3 linked regions of the Xenopus tropicalis genome follow. The protein of the gene in region 1 interacts with the protein of each later gene in a biochemical or structural test. Links are inferred from orthologs where the notes say so. Each region holds a gene or a part of one and is shown in the gene's direction. Other genes may lie near its edges.

Region 1 (6,178 bases):
CTCTTGCAAAGATGCAACATCCTGTATGGAATTTATTGACCTGCACAGTTTTGTGTCATCTGCAAGCACCTATATATTACTGCTAATGCCCACCCCCCCCCAAAAACATTATTATTATAACATATATAAAGCCCCTCAAACATTATAAGTGCCAACATATTCCGTTGTGCTGTACAATAAATGGGTATATACATTCAACATACATGAATCATCTCTACTAATGATACATAATTAACAAACAGGGTGAATATTTTGCAGAAGCCACAGTCAGCCATATATTATGGGGTCTGTACATACCACATACTTAGGTAAATATATGCATATTGGGCAACAAACTCATATTTATGATCTTTGTACATAAGGAACTGTAGGAGAAATATGGTTTACAGGGGTCTGCATACTAGGGGGCATATATGACACATAAAAGACCCCTGGTATTCATATTAATATGTCTAATCTTAGGGGCAGATTTACTAATGCACGAATCCGAATGGGAAAAAAATGGATTGGAAACGAACATTTTGCCACTTTTTCGTACTTTTTGCGATTTTTTTCGTCGCCGTCGCAACTTTTTTTGTGAATTGTCGCGACTTTTTTGTAGCCATTACGACTTTCGCGAATTGTCACGACTTTTTCATATTGAGCGGCGCGACGGCGACAAAAAAGTTGCGACAATTCACGAAAAAATCGTGACGGTGACGAAAATGTTGCGATAATTCGCGAAAAAAGTCACAACGACGTTGAAAAAAATCAAAGATCAGATCATTACGAAAAATCGCATTCGGACGCTTTCGGCCCGTTTGTGTATTAGTAAATGTGCCCCCTAGTATACAAGGCTGGTGGCAAACGGGGAGATTAGATGCATGCAATAAATCTTCGCTACCGCAGGTGCCTAATCTCCCCCAAAGTGTCTTCCTGTCAGCAAGAATGTGAATTGCTGGTGGCATGGCATACACATAGCTTCGGTTTTCCAAAGTCGCCCATAGTTTCCTCATGAGGTAATGCATGTGCCATCGCCCGTGGTAGTAAAGATTTATCTAATCTTCCCGTGTGCCAGCAGCATAAGGATATGTGACTGATAAGTTACTGCAAAATGGAAGGTGGTTTTTAAAAATGTTATCAAAGCTTTAATGTTTGGAGTAAAAAGATATAGAATTCATTTTAGATTTGGGAGAATGATTTTTGCACCTAGTGAGAATGTCTTTTGAGACTTTTATGTGAGAATATTTTTTCACCACACATAAAAGTCAGTAAATGTCTTGATTTTGCAGTAGTTATAATGACTGCAATATTTTTTATTTTGGGGCATATATTGATACCTATATGGTAAATACAGCTCTTTTTATGATGTACATTTATTGAGTAGATCAAAATAAGTAAATGTATAAATATCATATACATATATATATGTAGGGACCCATAGGGTTAAGCTCCCTATGGCTTTATCCTCTACCTCTTCACACCTCTATTGTTATTGGGCAGAGCCCCTGTACTTAAGTTACTGTTCTAACACTATTCCCTATAGATTTAGTCAGGTTGACCACTCCCCCTGCAGACTGAAATAGCGTCTAGCAGGGAGGAGTGGCTTCCTCTTTGGCTGCCTGTCTGCTACCTAAGCACAGCTCCTTCTGAGCCTGGGTGCTGCAACAGGCCCCAGTAAGCCACCTTAGTCCAAAGAACACCTTACTAATTGTATAAGTCAGGGACAGGGCCCTGTGAATGAGGATAAGTAAGCACAGCAGATTTATTTAATAGCACTCTCTAGTAGAAGTGAGCATAGTCAGCTCTAGCTAGAAAGGGCCATTAGCCTACCAAAGGAATGATTAGATCCAGGAGTATTTCTCCTATCCGGCAATGTTGTCTCAGTGCAGGGCTCTAGGAGGACTCAATCCACTAGAGGTTATCAACCTGAAGGAGTTCCTACTACTTGCACTATCTCTCAAGGGGTACTGGTTGAAAGGTGTATATCCCGGCCCAGACTCTACCAAGAGGTGGGGTAAACCGGTGTACACTCTCTCTTCTACAAAAGAGAAATCCCTCATTGTACCATTTCAATCTGCATGTCTGTGAGTATGATAACCCTGCATAACATCTGTGTCTTTGACCAATAAATCTGTATTATAGTTCACCAGCAAGAACCTTTCTGCGTCCATTTATACCATCTACACTACACAGCATCAGAAAGTTGTAGTTCAACTACACCCTCAGCTCCTATCTTACATCTCCCACATAGCAGAGGCCCATGCCGAAGAATTAAGGGTCACATGTAACACATGCTCTATATTACACTACAAGCCTGGGTTGGCCTAATCTAAGACAAAATAGTGTTACATATAATACATATAAGAAGAAAAGTTCTGAAAAAGTAAACTGTAAAAAGTAGCCTGTTTGCTACAGCAAGATTAAATGTGCACAAATTAATCGTTTCGGTGCCCTTTAAGAAGTGTCCGCATCAAAGCAGAGGGAGGCAATCCAACTTAAAGTAACAGCCAGCAAACAATTTTATGATTTGCTGAAGTCAAGATTTAGAGGCGGGGATAGCTTGCAGTCTAGGAAGTAAGGGCTGTACCCTCATTTCTTCTTTCGGTTTTGTGTGTGTGAGTTGGTGATTCTAGAGGTATCCGGAATCAAAGTAAATTTCAAGACGTTTTATTTTGCTTTCTTGAGCTTATTATACAGGACGGCGTCAGGTACGTTGAAAGAGAGACATTTTACTCCACTGTACGGCGCCCATTTTAGGACATCATCGGTATAAACGCTTCTGCTAATGATTCTGTTTTTATAACTGTGCCTGTCTGGGCAACCCCATTGCTCTTTTGGTCTATTATATACTCATCACTATACTGCAGCATATATTATATAATTTTCGTAATTGTGTGCATCATTCTGCCTCTGCTAACATTTGCCCAGTTTTGATTAATAAGCCGACTGGATCATTCTGTATTTGGTCTACTTGGTTATAAACTCCAGTGTGCACAGCCCATGTTTAATCTGCTTTATGCTGAGTAATCCTGCCCATTTGTGAATCCTTGTGTACAGCTGGTGTATCACTTACCACAGTGACTTTTGTTTTTTGGAAACCCCTATTTTAATTTACATTGGTTTGTGAGCACTCTAAAGGCTGTCATGTACTGTTAAGTTGAGCTGCAAATCTGCACTGCTATTGTTTAATATTTGCCACTACTTAGCCAAGCAAATTTTATTTGCACAATTCATCTAAAAAAAAAAATCTACACAACATGTCTGTGGGTTTAATTAACTTGAATGTATTCCAATACCACTGGGTGACAAATTTATCCTGTATTTTTCAGTCTCAACTCTGATCTCTGAGTTTTTTGACAGACATTTCTATTTGAATATAAGACAGAATAACCCTTTTTCCCAGTGCAAACTTTAGAACACCCTAGAAATAACAAGCGCTCTAATGGCCTATTGCCTTAGGGTTGTCTTTGATTTTACCCTCTCCTTCAGTTGTCATATCCAATTAATAACTAAATCATGTCATGTTCACTTACAGAATAAAATATCGCTATCAAAAATGATGCCAGCATGACCATTCCTGCCATAAGACGGGAGTGTGCAACAGTTTACCAGGGGTGGCAAAAGAAGGCCCCTAACAATTAATTTTTAAATTCAGCTCTTCTAGTGCAAATAGACCGTTCCACTCCCTGTATTAGAGATACTGCTCCTCATAAATTAAGAATATATATTATTTTACAATTTAAAGTTTATAGCTGTTCATTTATTACCTACGAATATTCTATTTACTGGCAATGATTGCCCTATTTTATGATTTCATTTGACACGTGTAAGAACCAAACCTATTGTAATTTATGCATCTGTTCTTAGCTTGTTGTATAAACTGTTATTGGTGTATGTGAAGCAGTTGCACTGTAAAAATACATTGAATAGTCGGGTTTCCCCAGAGAACACGGTTTCCAGAAGGGCTGTCTGGGCCAAAACTCTCTGCCCGGTTTTCCTAATTTGGTAAACTGGGCAGGACTTTCCTAGATTAACATGGACCTGTATGTGCTGAAAAACGAACCCTCGGCTTATACTCGAGTATAAGGATTCGAGGCTGAACAAGTTTGTTTTACGGGGCACCCCTCTTCCCTCCCCGCGGCTGGACAGAGGGCTGGACGGGCGTGCGTGCACGAACCAACGCACGCATGCATGTGCACACAACAATATTTTGGGCATGTACAAATGCGTACGCAGAAAGGGTGTTGGGTGATAAGGAGAGAAACAAAGGAAGGGGGCACAGATAAGAAGGCAATCTGGGAACTACAAATCCCAGATTTATTAAATTATACATTACCCTATATCACTACCACCTGCTCTATGGCTGCTAGCTAAGTAAAGTCAAAAGGATAAATCACCATTGTGGTCATTTGGAGCATGTTGGGAATTGTAGTTCTTTGTACAATAATATTACAATGAGTGCATCACTATATACAGATTCTGTACATGAGCCGTTTATTTATCTGGATGTCAGCTGACCCCCTCGGATCACTGTTGTGCCCTACAGAGAGTGTTCTGAATGTTCTGGTTGGGCCTTGGCCGGTACGCATTGCACTATGGGAGTGCATGGGAATTATGGGAAACAACCTTGTGCAGATATGGAAAGCTCAGTCAGTGGGTCCCTAGGCAGGTATTGTATACTTACAGGCCTGGACTGGCAATCTCTGGGTTCTGGCAAATGCCAGAGGGGCTGATGTAAGATGCCACAGACAGTCACTATTTATTGGGCTGGGGGGCTTTTTGGGCCCCTGTGTACTTGAAATGCCAGGGCCTATTTCGAATCCCAGTCCAGGCCTGCCTACCTACCTGCTACTGGTGGCCTATACTAGCTTGTTTGCCGGTGGCTACTGACAATAAAATATAAGGAAGAGACACGACTTTTCCCTTTGCTAATGGAGTTCTTGAAGCTGGAAACGGAACCTTTATATTATACGCCATGGCGCAGGCTTCTAGGGGGCAGAACAAGATGGTGGAATGTATTGTTGACTTTTTAGCGGTAAATATCCAGGGTGCCTACCCCAGAGTTACTAGGGTTGGTTCACCAATGAGTGTCCAGGGTGTCCAGGGCCTACCTAGGCTTATACTCGAGTCAATAAGTTTTTCCAGTTTTCTTAGGTAAAATTAGGTAATTAAAATGGAGGGTATGGGAGACGGGCTTTCTGTAATTCGGAGCTTTCTGGATAACTGGTTTCCGGATAAGGGATTCCATACCTGTAATTGGATAGAGAACTGACTGAAGGATAGATTGCAGAGAGTGCTGTTAAATTGAACATTTTCCAATTGGACCAGTGTTGTTAGTGGAGTACCGCAGGGGTCTGTCTTTGGTCTTTGCTTTTTAACTTGTTTAATAATAACCTGGAGGTGTGTATTACTACTATACTACGTATTATATATTTTATTATGATACTAAATTGTGCAAAACTATAAGTTTCATGCAGGCTGCTGCCATGTTTTTCCTAACAGGAAGAACATCAGATCAGCCCTCTCTTCTTTCTTTTTTTTTTTTTTTTAAAGGTTGATTTTTATTGTTTTTTTAACAACAATAGAATAGGGTAGAAAAGGAGAGGGAAGAAAGGAAAGGAAGAGATTGGAGAGTAAACAGTCATTGTACTGTTGTGGCTGGTGAGTCTGTCCAAGGAGACCAAATGTTCTCAAATTTCGCCGGACAACCTCTAACGAGGTAGGTAAGTTTATACAGTTTTAATTGCGGAGCGATGGGGGTGTCCGGCCCATCCAGCTCAGAGCGATGGTTCTTTTGGCATAAAAAAGTAGTAGTCTCATAGTAGTAGTAGCTTTGTATTCCTTCTAGGTATCGGAGTGTCCAGGAGGCCCAGTATACAGGTAGCCGGGTTGAGTACTGGTTGAGTTCCAGTTCTGTTCCCATAAATTCTGTGACCTTGCCCCAGAATTTTTGTATTTCAGGGCAGTCCCATATTAGGTGCATGAAGTTGACCATATGCTTTGCATCTTTGGCAGTTAGAGGAGTCAGTTTTCCCCATATTGTGTAGCTTTTGTGGGGTGAGGTAAGTCTGATGTATAATTTTAAATTGTATAAGTCTGTCTCTTTTGCTTATTAGGGGCTGGTATAAATTGTCCGTGATTTCTTCCCAGTCATCGGGATTTAGATGTATCCCAGAGGTCTCCCACTTAAGCTTTG
Region 2 (5,567 bases), on another chromosome or scaffold:
CACTCGCCCCAACTAGTTTCACTCAGAGGAAGCCCCGTGTACCCCCTCCCCTGACAAAATGATATCTAGAATATACCAGAACTTGCAACTAGGGATAAACCGAACCCTCGAATCCATCCGAAGGGATTCGGCCGAATACCGAACCAAATCGGAATTCTAATTAGCATATGTTAGTTAGGATCCGGAAGGGGTAAAAAAAAAATTTCCCTAACATTTAACCCTTCCAAATCCTAATTAGCATATGCTCATTCATGCTAATTCAGATTCAGTTTGGCCAGGACCGTGGATTTAGCTGAACCCTAATCCTGGCCAAATACCGAACCGAATCCTGGATTCAGTGTATCCCTACTTGCAACTACCCGGACCCAAAGACTAAGCAAAGACTGGCAAGACCCTGCTAGAGACAAATTAGTGCAATACAAACCTATAGATAACCCCTGCCAGATTTATATAAATGGGGCGCTCTTCTGACGACAGTTGCTCTAGATGCGGGGGCTTAATTTTTCCACATGATTTCGAAATGTCCCCACATTCACTCTTTTTGGACCCAAATATTCGACTTCCTGGCCTAAAACCTAGAATTACCTAGAATATTGGCACCCATATTTGTCTCCTTGGGATACCGCGAGCCCACGTGTGTTTGCGCAACTGTGTACTCCCCCTTCATGCAAAAAAAAAACAAAAAACAATTGCCGTGCATTGGATGGGTACATCCCTCCCCTCCATTAGAACTTACAGATAGGATATCAGAGGGCAACTAACAAATCTGACAAAGTCTGGGGACCTTGGTGCAATGTACTTCAAACACATTCCAACCACTGGGTGCCTGAAACCAACCTTTTTACATTACTGACTAACCCCCACAAAAAAGAAACAAACAATGCTACAAATTGCTAATCACATACTGACTTGATTCCTTGGTTTAAACCACGAATGTCATTTTCTTCTCTTCCCTAACAGGCAGTCTGGGCTCTAGGGAACATTGCCGGAGACAGCACCGTGTGTCGGGATTATGTGTTGGACTGCAATATTCTGCCTCCGCTTTTACAGTTAGTACCTAGAACTTTGGGGTGTTTTATGATTTTTTCCCTGTGTTTTTAAGTAGCTGTACTTGTTATGTATGAAGATATAGTAGAAAAGATGTTTAGAATTGACTATAGGGGCAGGGTGCTGAGCAGAGGTTAGGGTTACATTGGGTGGGAAATACATATTGAATGTTTAGAGCTCATGGACTTGGGATGTGGTTATTACTGTCAACATGGAGTCCATATTTACTCCGTTATATTCTTGTATTATTTTTCAGATTACTGTCCAAGCAGAACCGTCTTACAATGACTCGAAATGCAGTGTGGGCACTGTCTAACCTTTGTAGAGGGAAGAATCCACCCCCTGAATTCGCCAAGGTAACAGTGAGGCAGTTGGATTTCAGTGTTATTGCTAAATGGGCTTTAGCGTGCTGGCACTGGGCAGATAAACACATGGTTATTGTACCCACAGCATCAGTTCATGCTTTTTGTAACCAGCCTTCTCTTTAGTAACCTTGTTATATCCAGTCTATTTTTTGACCAGCAGTTTCAATGTATGCAGTTATTTCATTGGCCAGAAGCCCTGGAGAGCGAAAGAGCTCAATCCGAATACACCCACAGTTGATGTGCCAAGGTCTGCTTGAACCCACCCAACCCGTGGGTATCGGGCCGGCCTGCACATAACTAATATATAGGCCTTTCATTTGCTTGGCAGCATCAGCAACTTTCTTTTCCCATCTTTTAACTGGTCAGTAATCTTCCCTTGCATATCATATGCCTATTCCCAGGGGCCCCATTAGCACTGGCATCTTGTGTTTATTGACACTGGAAGCAGAACCAAAATACGTAGAGCTCCTCTCCTTCCACTTACCCATAGGTGGCCCTCCTGCACTTCCACCTTAGGGGCTGATGGAAGTCAGGGGGCCAGCATATGTCTATCAAATGGACAAAATACCATCACTTGCTTTTTATCTCTTGTCCTTTATTGGCCAGTGGTATTACTGGCGGCTGCTGCTTCTGCATCATTATCACACTGGTATCATAACACTTTAGGTGAGTTATTTGCTGAAGATGCCATATTGTCTTCCTCCCCAGGTTTCCCCATGCCTCACTGTCCTGTCCTGGCTTCTCTTTGTCAACGACACTGATGTACTTGCCGATGCCTGCTGGGCGCTGTCCTATCTGTCAGATGGGCCGAACGATAAGATCCAGGCCGTGATCGATGCAGGCGTGTGTAGAAGATTAGTGGAACTACTAATGTGAGCCACTGTTTGTACTTGACTTCATGAAATGCAGAACTTTAGTATCTTCCTTTATTTTGTTTTTGGGACATGGCTGGATAAACTGCTTTGGATACATATAAACAGTCAAATAATACCTAAACCAACTCCATGTATTAATCTCAATTGGGCAGTTTAGACAAGCTGTCTAATTGGGTGGCACTGAGTCCAGACAGCAGTTTTAAGGTGCCCATAGATCCTTTAGATCGATTCAGCAGCTTATCTGCCCGTGTATGGGCACGAACGACAGGCCTGCCCAACTGACATCTGGCCTAAAATTGGGCAGATCTTAATCGGGCAGGTTGACTTTTCCGTCGCATTGGGGGGCTGCATCGTCTCTTTGATACGGTCCCTGAACTGGCAGCGACTATTCCCGCCATTCTGATTCCATCGTCTGGCCCCAGGGCCAAATGAGTGAATTAGCCCTATATCGCCCACACATAGGTGGGGATATTGGGAGAAGATCCGCTCCTTTACCGCGTATGGCCACCTTTAATCTGCTGCCCCAGGGGATTCTAGGTTGAAGGAGTTTGATATTTCTCTTTAAGAAAGTTCTTTTTATTTATTTTCTTTTTTTTTTTGGAATTTTTCAGGCACAATGATTACAAAGTGGTGTCTCCTGCCCTGCGGGCTGTTGGCAACATAGTGACTGGGGATGACATCCAGACACAAGTAAGTGTTAGTGTAAGGAATTGTGTCTTGATTAGCTGATGCTGATTCTGTACCGTAGCCGATAAGCAATACAATTTTAGTTCTTTTATATTTTGTTCAGCAGCTCTATAGTTTATAATTTTAGCAGTTATATGGTTGCTAGGATCCAGATTACCTTAGCAACCAGGCAGTGGTTTGAATAACAGACTGGTATATGAATAGGAGATAACCTGAACAGAAAAACAAGTAATAATAGGTAATAATAACAATAAAACTGGAGCCTCACAGAGCAGTAGTTGTAGGCTGCTGGGGTCAGTGACCCCCATTTGAAAGCTGCAAAATGTCAGCAGAAGAAGGGGAATAATTAAAAAAACCTTAAATAATAAATAATGGAGACCAAGTGATAAGTTGCTTAGAATTGGCAGTTCTATAACTAGAATAGGAACCACCCCTTTTAATAGTGTAATTTGTGAAAGTCTAATGTAATTTTTTTTTTTTTTTTTACCCCATAGGTGATTCTAAACTGCTCGGCCCTACAGAGTTTGCTGCATCTGTTGAGTAGCCCCAAGGAATCTATAAAGAAGGAGGCATGTTGGACGATATCAAACATCACAGCCGGGAACAGAGTTCAGATACAGGTAATTCAGCCTCTTATTTGCAAACGTAAAGGTAAAATGGCCGCCCCGTGTTGCGCGAAGCCCATAGTTATACCGAATTCTGGTAACATTTGTAACTGCTCTCTATGGCTTTTCACCACATCCAAAATGTATGGATTTGGTGCATCCGTACTTAAGCTGGCCATACACGCACCGATAACATTGTACAAAACGCAGGTTTGTACAATTTTCTGCCTGGTTGCTAGGGTAGTTAAGCCATAGTAATTAAAAAATTTGAAAAAAAAAGTTAAAAAAAACAAAAGCAAAATGACTTCTGTTGTCTCCATCGTACCAAAAGTTAATTTTAAGGTGATCGATCCCTTTATCCCATTACATCCCATTTGCCAGTAATAAGTAGTTGAGCAGATGCAGCAGATTTTGCCTGAGCTCTCTCTTGTTCTGCGTTGCTCAGACAGTGATTGAGGCCAACATCTTTCCAGCTCTGATAAACATTCTGCAGACGGCAGAATTCAGGACAAGAAAAGAGGCTGCGTGGGCTATCACAAACGCAACATCCGGGGGCTCCGCAGAACAGATCAGGTATGTCCTGTCAGCCTTTGTTTGCAATTGGTCACATTAAAGTGTAAGTACCAGGACACACAGAGCCTTAGCCTTGATACGAGAGGATATCAGTGAGCCGTATAGTATATAGTGCAGTTTGATTTCTCTACCAGGGTCTCTAAGCCTCTGCTACACAGTTGACCACCCAGTGCTGTGCCCTTGAAAATGAAATGTTTGGCTGAAATACTAATGCAAATCATGATATTTATGGGGGACTGTTTATCTCTAAATGACACAGCAAATAATTCTCTCTGCCATTTAACCCTTTTATTCTTCAACCAACAAATGTATTTGTAGCTGTAATATTGGTGTGTAGGCGCCATCTCAGTGCCTTGTGCCTGAGTCTGAGCTTTCAGCCAGCGCTACACATTAGAACTGTTTTCAGCTAACCTATTGTTTCTCCTACTCCCATGTAACTGGAGGAGTCCCAAGCCGGACTTGGATTTCTTACTATTGAGTGCTATTCTGATACCTACTGGGAGCTGCTATCTTGCTCCCTTCCCATTGTTCTGCTGATCGGCTGCTGGGGGTGAGGGGGGGGATATCGCTCCAACTTGCAGCGCAGCTGTAAAGTGTGACTGAAGTATATCAGAGCACAGGTCACATGTTTGATTATAGCTGATACAACTACTTTAAGTGGCAGCAAATGACAGAGGTGGATCATTAGGGCCTGAGAGGTGTCCTGTTTGTCTCTGTATAAACATCGCTTAACCCTTGACTGTCTTCTATACCCTAGGTACCTGGTTGATTTAGGTTGCATCAAACCTCTTTGTGACCTCCTGACTTGCATGGATTCCAAGATCGTACAGGTGGCCCTGAATGGCTTAGAAAACATACTGAGGCTGGGCGAGCAAGAGGCAAAGCGGAACGGGACAGGCATTAACCCTTACTGCGCTCTTATTGAAGAAGCATATGGTGAGTGCCAGCATGTGGGCTGCCCCCGGGGCTACACAGCGGGGTATTTATATAAACTATAGTAGGGTTTCTGTAGCAAACACCCCAGCTGTACCGTTGCAGGAATGGCTGCCCCTGGGGCTACACAGCGGGGTATTTATATAAACTATAGTAGGGTTTCTGTAGCAAACACCCCAGCTGTACCAGTGCAGGAATGGCTGCCCCCGGGGCTACACAGCGGGGTATTTATATAAACTATAGTAGGGTTTCTGTAGCAAACACCCCAGCTGTACCGTTGCAGGAATGGCTGCCCCTGGGGCTACACAGCTGGGTATTTATATAAACTATAGTAGGGTTTCTGTAGCAAACACCCCAGCTGTACCAGTGCAGGAATGGCTGCCCCCGGGGCTACACAGCGGGGTATTTATATAAACTATAGTAGGGTTTCTGTAGCAAACACCCCAGCTGTACCAGTGCAGGAACGGCTGCTCCCGGGGCTA
Region 3 (5,567 bases), on another chromosome or scaffold:
TAAGGCATGCGTGCCATACAGATTGCATTTATCTCAAGGAAATCATGTTTACAGGCATGTGATCTATTATCCAGAATTTCCAGGACACAGAGTATTTCTGTACTTTGAAGCACCATGCCATAATACCACTTAAATATTTCAATATATAAAAACAGGACTGCCACCCCCTACTCCTAAGTTCAACACCTATCCGACAAGGCTAATCTAATGCTGACATAAAATTCTATCCCTTCTATATACAACTGGTTAGGGATGCACTTAATCCAGAATTCGGATCGGTCTTCAGCAGGATTCGGACTCGGGCGAATCCTAAAAATCACGCAACTTTTTGTCACAAACACGGAAGTTGAAAATGTAACCCTGCCAAAACCTAATTGGCATACGCTAATTAGGATTTGGTTCGGTATTCGGCCGAATCCTTTAAGAAGTATTCGGGGTTTGGCCGAATCCAAAGAAGTGGATTTGGTGCATCCCTACAACTGGTACACTAGGGAGTGGCAAAAGTGCCTTATGTATATCAATGAGACACAAGAACACCAGGGTTACATTTCTTGTTGTATTTTATTTTTAATTTTCTTCTGTATTTAAGATTATTGTAAAATGAATTGTAAATCTTGTACATCTGTTGTTCATCCTCTTGTAACATGTTCTTTTCGATTGTTAAATTTGATGCTTAAAAAAAAACAGTACTGCATTATGAATGCTTTTCAGAAGGCATGGTTTAGTCTACATTACTCTCCAAAGGGGATCTAAATCCCAAAAAATAATTTGATGTAAATTTACTCAGCAAGTTAGGTTGAAATAAGACATACGTCCATCACATTCAACCATCACGTTGGTCTGGCTATCCTTTTGTAGTTTACATTAAATTTCTATATTTAGTAGTTTCTGAGATATTAGAAGTTTTATACTGCTAATACCAGGCTCAACAACAGCAATCTTTGAAGGTCAGATTGTCAGTAGTTCCAGCTGTCTTTTTTATGCTCTTTCAATATAGTCAATGCTAGGGTTGCTGACCAAAAGTTTGGTGTTAGTGGTCTAAAACCTAGGATATCCGGAAAAACACTAAAAAACAGAGGAGCACACTTTAATTTTTTGGGTTTAGATCTCCTTTAACCCATTTTTCCCTTTTGCAGTGTTATTATATGTATCATACTATCATGTGTGTCTCCTTTGCCCGTAATAGGTGAAACAATCTCTTCTGTCATCTAAACATCAAAATCTTCTCTCCTAGAATGCAACGCTGCTATTCATAAAAAATGCATAGAAATGATCATTGGCAGATGTACAGGTACTGCTGCCAACAGCCGGGACACCATGGTGAGTGCCCCCTTTTTCCTCCCCCCCAGTTTGTAATCACACTTCGTAATCTGCTTGTGGTCCCAGAAAGGTAAAACCAAATCTGCTTCTGTCTCTTCTTTGCAGTTCCAGAAAGAACGCTTCAACATTGATATGCCACACAGATTTAAAGTTTATAACTACAAGAGCCCCACATTCTGCGATCACTGTGGCAGCCTGCTCTGGGGCCTGGTGAAACAAGGGTTAAAATGTGATGGTGAGCTCCTGTCAAACTGTTGGTTGTTGGTAGCTGAACATTTACTTTTCACGTGGGTTAATTATATGAAGCTGATGTCTTACTGTTGAAGCAAAGGGTTCTGGGTAGTTATCCAAAAGCAGACACCCATACCATAGTAATGTATATTGAAATAATTTTTGCTCACTTATTGCAAAACTTGCTCTCCATCCCCATGCAAGTTTTTATGGAGTGTTATTCCCTGACCTGATGTTATTACACTTTATTATTATAGTAGCTACAGTATATAAGTTGTTATTATTATTATAATAGTTACAGTTGATCTGAGGGGAGAGTGCCCGGCCCTTATTATTAAGCAGCTCCTCTTCCCTTGGTCTGGCTATGGGCTGCATCTTATGTCTCTTTAGAAAATAAATCTGGCTCAAGGTGTTAACCACAGCCCTGTCGTTACTGCCTGCATCCCCTGCCGCTCACTAACTTGTGCGTCCAAATTACAACTATGTGTCCCTCATGAATATAGTGTTGATGGATGCAATTCTTTAAGAGGCAAGCAAAAAACTGACACACTTTGCACGCTGTCTCAGAGTTCTTATATGACCCCTATAGACTATTAGGTTGGGCCCTGGGAAATACAGAGGCATTCTGTCACTAAAAATGGTTTCATTTCTTTGCTACATTTGTGATTTGTGTTGTTACCAACGTTATTTATTTTGTGTTATTTAGAGTGCGCCATGAATGTGCATCACAAGTGTCAGAACAAAGTGGCAAACTTATGTGGCATAAACCAGAAGCTTTTAGCAGAGGCATTAAATCAAGTCAGTATGGTAAGCACCGTGGGACAAACTTTTTAGTAACAGGATAGAATAGAATAAGGTGCCCGTGAAGCACCAGTAAAATGCTGATGGCCAGAGGCTACTTTCTAAATAAATATAATCTATGGGGGTGTCTCTCTTGTGTCACTATTGGGGCACTGTATTCTGTTTCTCAAAGCCATGGCAGCTGGAGCTCTAGGAAGTAACTCACCTGGAGCAGAGATATCCAAACACTGTCTCTGTCTGAATGTGACTGCCGGCTTTAAATGAACCAATGCACTTTGTATTGATTGCATCTTTTTGTGGTTTTTCTCTAGAAATCTAGTTCTAGAAAATCAGATTCTGGATTGGATAATATTGCCATATATCAAGGTGTGAACCCTAAAACCCCAGGATTGCCTATGCCTGATGCTACAGGTACGACTGGAAAATTACTGCAGTATAACTCACCCTTTGTTGTCAGTGTATTGCACAGTATTGTATGGCGTATAGCACAGCACTTCCTCCTCTGCATATCTGCAAATGTATGTATGTATGTATGTATATCTTTATTTATAAAGCGCTACTTATGTACGCAGCGCTGTACAGTAGAATACATTAATACAAACAGGGTGTTAATAAGATAATAGATAAATACAAAGTATAACAATAAATACAGATAAATACAGCTGCAATAAGTTAAGAGTCGAGGACACAAGAGGAAGGAGGTCCCTGCCCCGTAGAGCTTACAATCTATATGGGAGGGTAACTAACAGACACAAATAGGCAAATATAAGTGCTGTAGGTCACAGTGGGTGACACTACAATATAAGTGCCACTAATGAGAGTATCACAGGATATCACACGAACATGGCAGCAATTTATGTTAGAGACAACTTCTGCTAAAGCCAGCAGTATGGCAGCATCCAATCCCAACTATAAATGCAAACATGTAGAGATTGGGTTTTTGTGCATTTACTGAACATATAAGGGTAAAAAGTTTCCTCATTAAAAGAGGTAGATCACATTTAAAGTGATACTGACACAGAAAAAATACTTTTCAAAATATTAATGTATGGATAGGTTACTTGATGTTTATAAACCTGACAGTTTTGCCAACCCGACTGTCCCTTCTCAGGCTGTCAGTTACAGCTTCTAATGCTAACAGACTCCTGCTGCACAAATATGGCCGCCCCCTCATAGGGGAACATGGGGATCAGATAGGTAAAAGCATCAGGAAGTACTTTTATGGCAAAATAATAAAGTTCATTCAAAGACAATGTTATGTTATATTTAACAACAAGTTAGCTGTTAGTATGTTATAGAATATACTATATTATTTATAGTATTTGAATGAATTCTTTGCCTTCCTATTCTACTTCTTTCCAGCTTTTATATGGCCCGACATCCAAAACCAATTGCTCTGTGAGGCTACAGTTTTATAGTATTACTTTCGATTAGTTATGTTTCTTTTCAGCGCCTCTCCTATTTATCTTCCTGTCTCTCATTCATACCGCTGCTTGGTTACTAGGGTAATTGGACCCTAGCAACCAGATAGCTGCTGAAATTCCATACTGTAGAGCTGCTAAACAAAAACTTAATTCAAAAACCTCATAAAATAAAAAAATAAATAAGACTCTATATCACTCCAATATGACTCCATTATATTAAAATGTGTTTAAAGGTGAACTACCCCTTTTAAGCCTTTTGGAAATTGATATACACAATACTGGAGAAACATTCTGGCCATGGAATTAGCTCTTGAGCTTCCGGCCCTGCAGCAATTAAGTAGTCGTCAGTTGAGAATATCCTTTAGCTGCGTCTTACTAAAACCCGTTTCTCCCTGTAGATAACCAGTATGATAGACTTTGGGAGGGAAGCAGCCCGCATCCTCACATCAGCCTGAGCAGCCGTTTGAAGATTGATAATTTCGTCTTTCACAAGGTGCTCGGTAAAGGCAGCTTTGGTAAGGTAGGTAACCCCGGCCTCTTCAGCCCTGCCTCATTCTTCTCTTCTATAGCCTGCATGCAGCCTTACCTCTCTCCTCTTGCAGGTGCTGCTGGCAGAATTAAAAGGCAAGGGGGAATATTTTGCCATAAAAGCCTTGAAGAAGGATGTGGTGCTGATTGATGATGATGTTGAGTGCACCATGGTGGAAAAGCGAGTGCTAGCATTGGCCTGGGAAAATCCTTTCCTCACCCACATCTACTGCTCCTTCCAGACCAAGGTACCAGCCTGAGCAGAAATGGTGCCTTTTGCATACATTTCAAAACACATCAGTTAATAGAGCTTCTCCAGCAGAATCCTGCATTGTAATCTGTTTTTGAAAAACACAAACAGATTTTTTTATATTTCATTTTGTAATTTCACATGGGGCTAGCCATATTCTTCATTTCCCAGGGTGCTACAGTCATGTGACTTGTGATAAACTTCAGTCACACTTTACTGTTGAGCTGCAAGTTGGAGCGATCCCCCCCCCCCCCCCAGCAGCTGATCAGCAGAGCAATGGGAAGGGAGCAAGATAGCAGCTCCCAGTAGATATCAGAATTGCACTCAATAGTAAGAAATCCAAGTCTGACTTGGGACTCCCCCAGTTACATAGGAGTAGGAGAAACAATAGGTTAGCTGAAAGCAGTTCTAATGTGTAGCGCTGGCTCCTTCTGAAAGCTCAGACTCAGGCACAATGCACTGAGATGGAGGTGTGCTGAAACAAGAAACCACACAGTATAAACTAGAATATAAAATGTAACCACACAATAAGCACTAGTACAGAATGAGTTACTAACAAAACAGGGGGCCAGGGAATGCATTGGTCAGTTCTCCTATGTACAGTGAAGCAAATTCAGCCAGGCCGGTCACATGTCTATTATACGTTACTTTTACCATAATTAGCCCTGGAGCGCTCCCACAACCCCCTTTTTTTCTTCAAATAAGGAAATAGAGACCAACGACCTAAAATTAGAGTTAAAAATGCTGCAGCGCTATGGGAAATAGTGAGATTCTCTTTCCTGCAAATAACATCAATTTCAGGCCATTATGAATAAGACTTAGCATTGTGCTGTGTTTCCTGTATAGTTTGCACTTCCTTCTTTGTTATTTAAACTGGGCTCAAATGTTAAAACTGAGCAATCTGCCATTTGGGTCAGGAAAGAATGTTTCCCTACAAGATCTGACAGTTGCCTCATTTGGGGTTGTTTGTTTTGCTCTGAATATTCTTTGTAGAGTGGTTTAAGGGCTGTGGC

The links.
Region 2: the proteins of stat1 (region 1) and kpna1 form a complex in vitro, tested with the Homo sapiens proteins (2 studies listed by BioGRID). The link is inferred for Xenopus tropicalis from reciprocal best matches to the Homo sapiens genes STAT1 and KPNA1.
Region 3: of the proteins of stat1 (region 1) and prkcd, one has a biochemical effect on the other in vitro, tested with the Homo sapiens proteins (2 studies listed by BioGRID). The link is inferred for Xenopus tropicalis from reciprocal best matches to the Homo sapiens genes STAT1 and PRKCD.

The regions. Positions count from the first base shown.
Region 1 is NC_030685.2:43,531,174-43,537,351, reverse strand, and holds the start of stat1 (signal transducer and activator of transcription 1-alpha/beta), read left to right. Parts: upstream 1-2,546; 5' UTR 2,547-2,690; intron 2,691-6,178. UniProt on the Homo sapiens protein: Signal transducer and transcription activator that mediates cellular responses to interferons (IFNs), cytokine KITLG/SCF and other cytokines and other growth factors.
Region 2 is NC_030678.2:3,397,239-3,402,805, forward strand, and holds part of kpna1 (importin subunit alpha-5), read left to right. Parts: intron 1-960; coding exon 961-1,049; intron 1,050-1,303; coding exon 1,304-1,403; intron 1,404-2,120; coding exon 2,121-2,284; intron 2,285-2,898; coding exon 2,899-2,977; intron 2,978-3,468; coding exon 3,469-3,594; intron 3,595-4,024; coding exon 4,025-4,152; intron 4,153-4,909; coding exon 4,910-5,088; intron 5,089-5,567. UniProt on the Homo sapiens protein: Functions in nuclear protein import as an adapter protein for nuclear receptor KPNB1. Binds specifically and directly to substrates containing either a simple or bipartite NLS motif.
Region 3 is NC_030680.2:123,766,955-123,772,521, forward strand, and holds part of prkcd (protein kinase C delta type), read left to right. Parts: intron 1-1,234; coding exon 1,235-1,320; intron 1,321-1,425; coding exon 1,426-1,555; intron 1,556-2,257; coding exon 2,258-2,358; intron 2,359-2,663; coding exon 2,664-2,763; intron 2,764-4,174; coding exon 4,175-4,296; intron 4,297-4,378; coding exon 4,379-4,552; intron 4,553-5,567.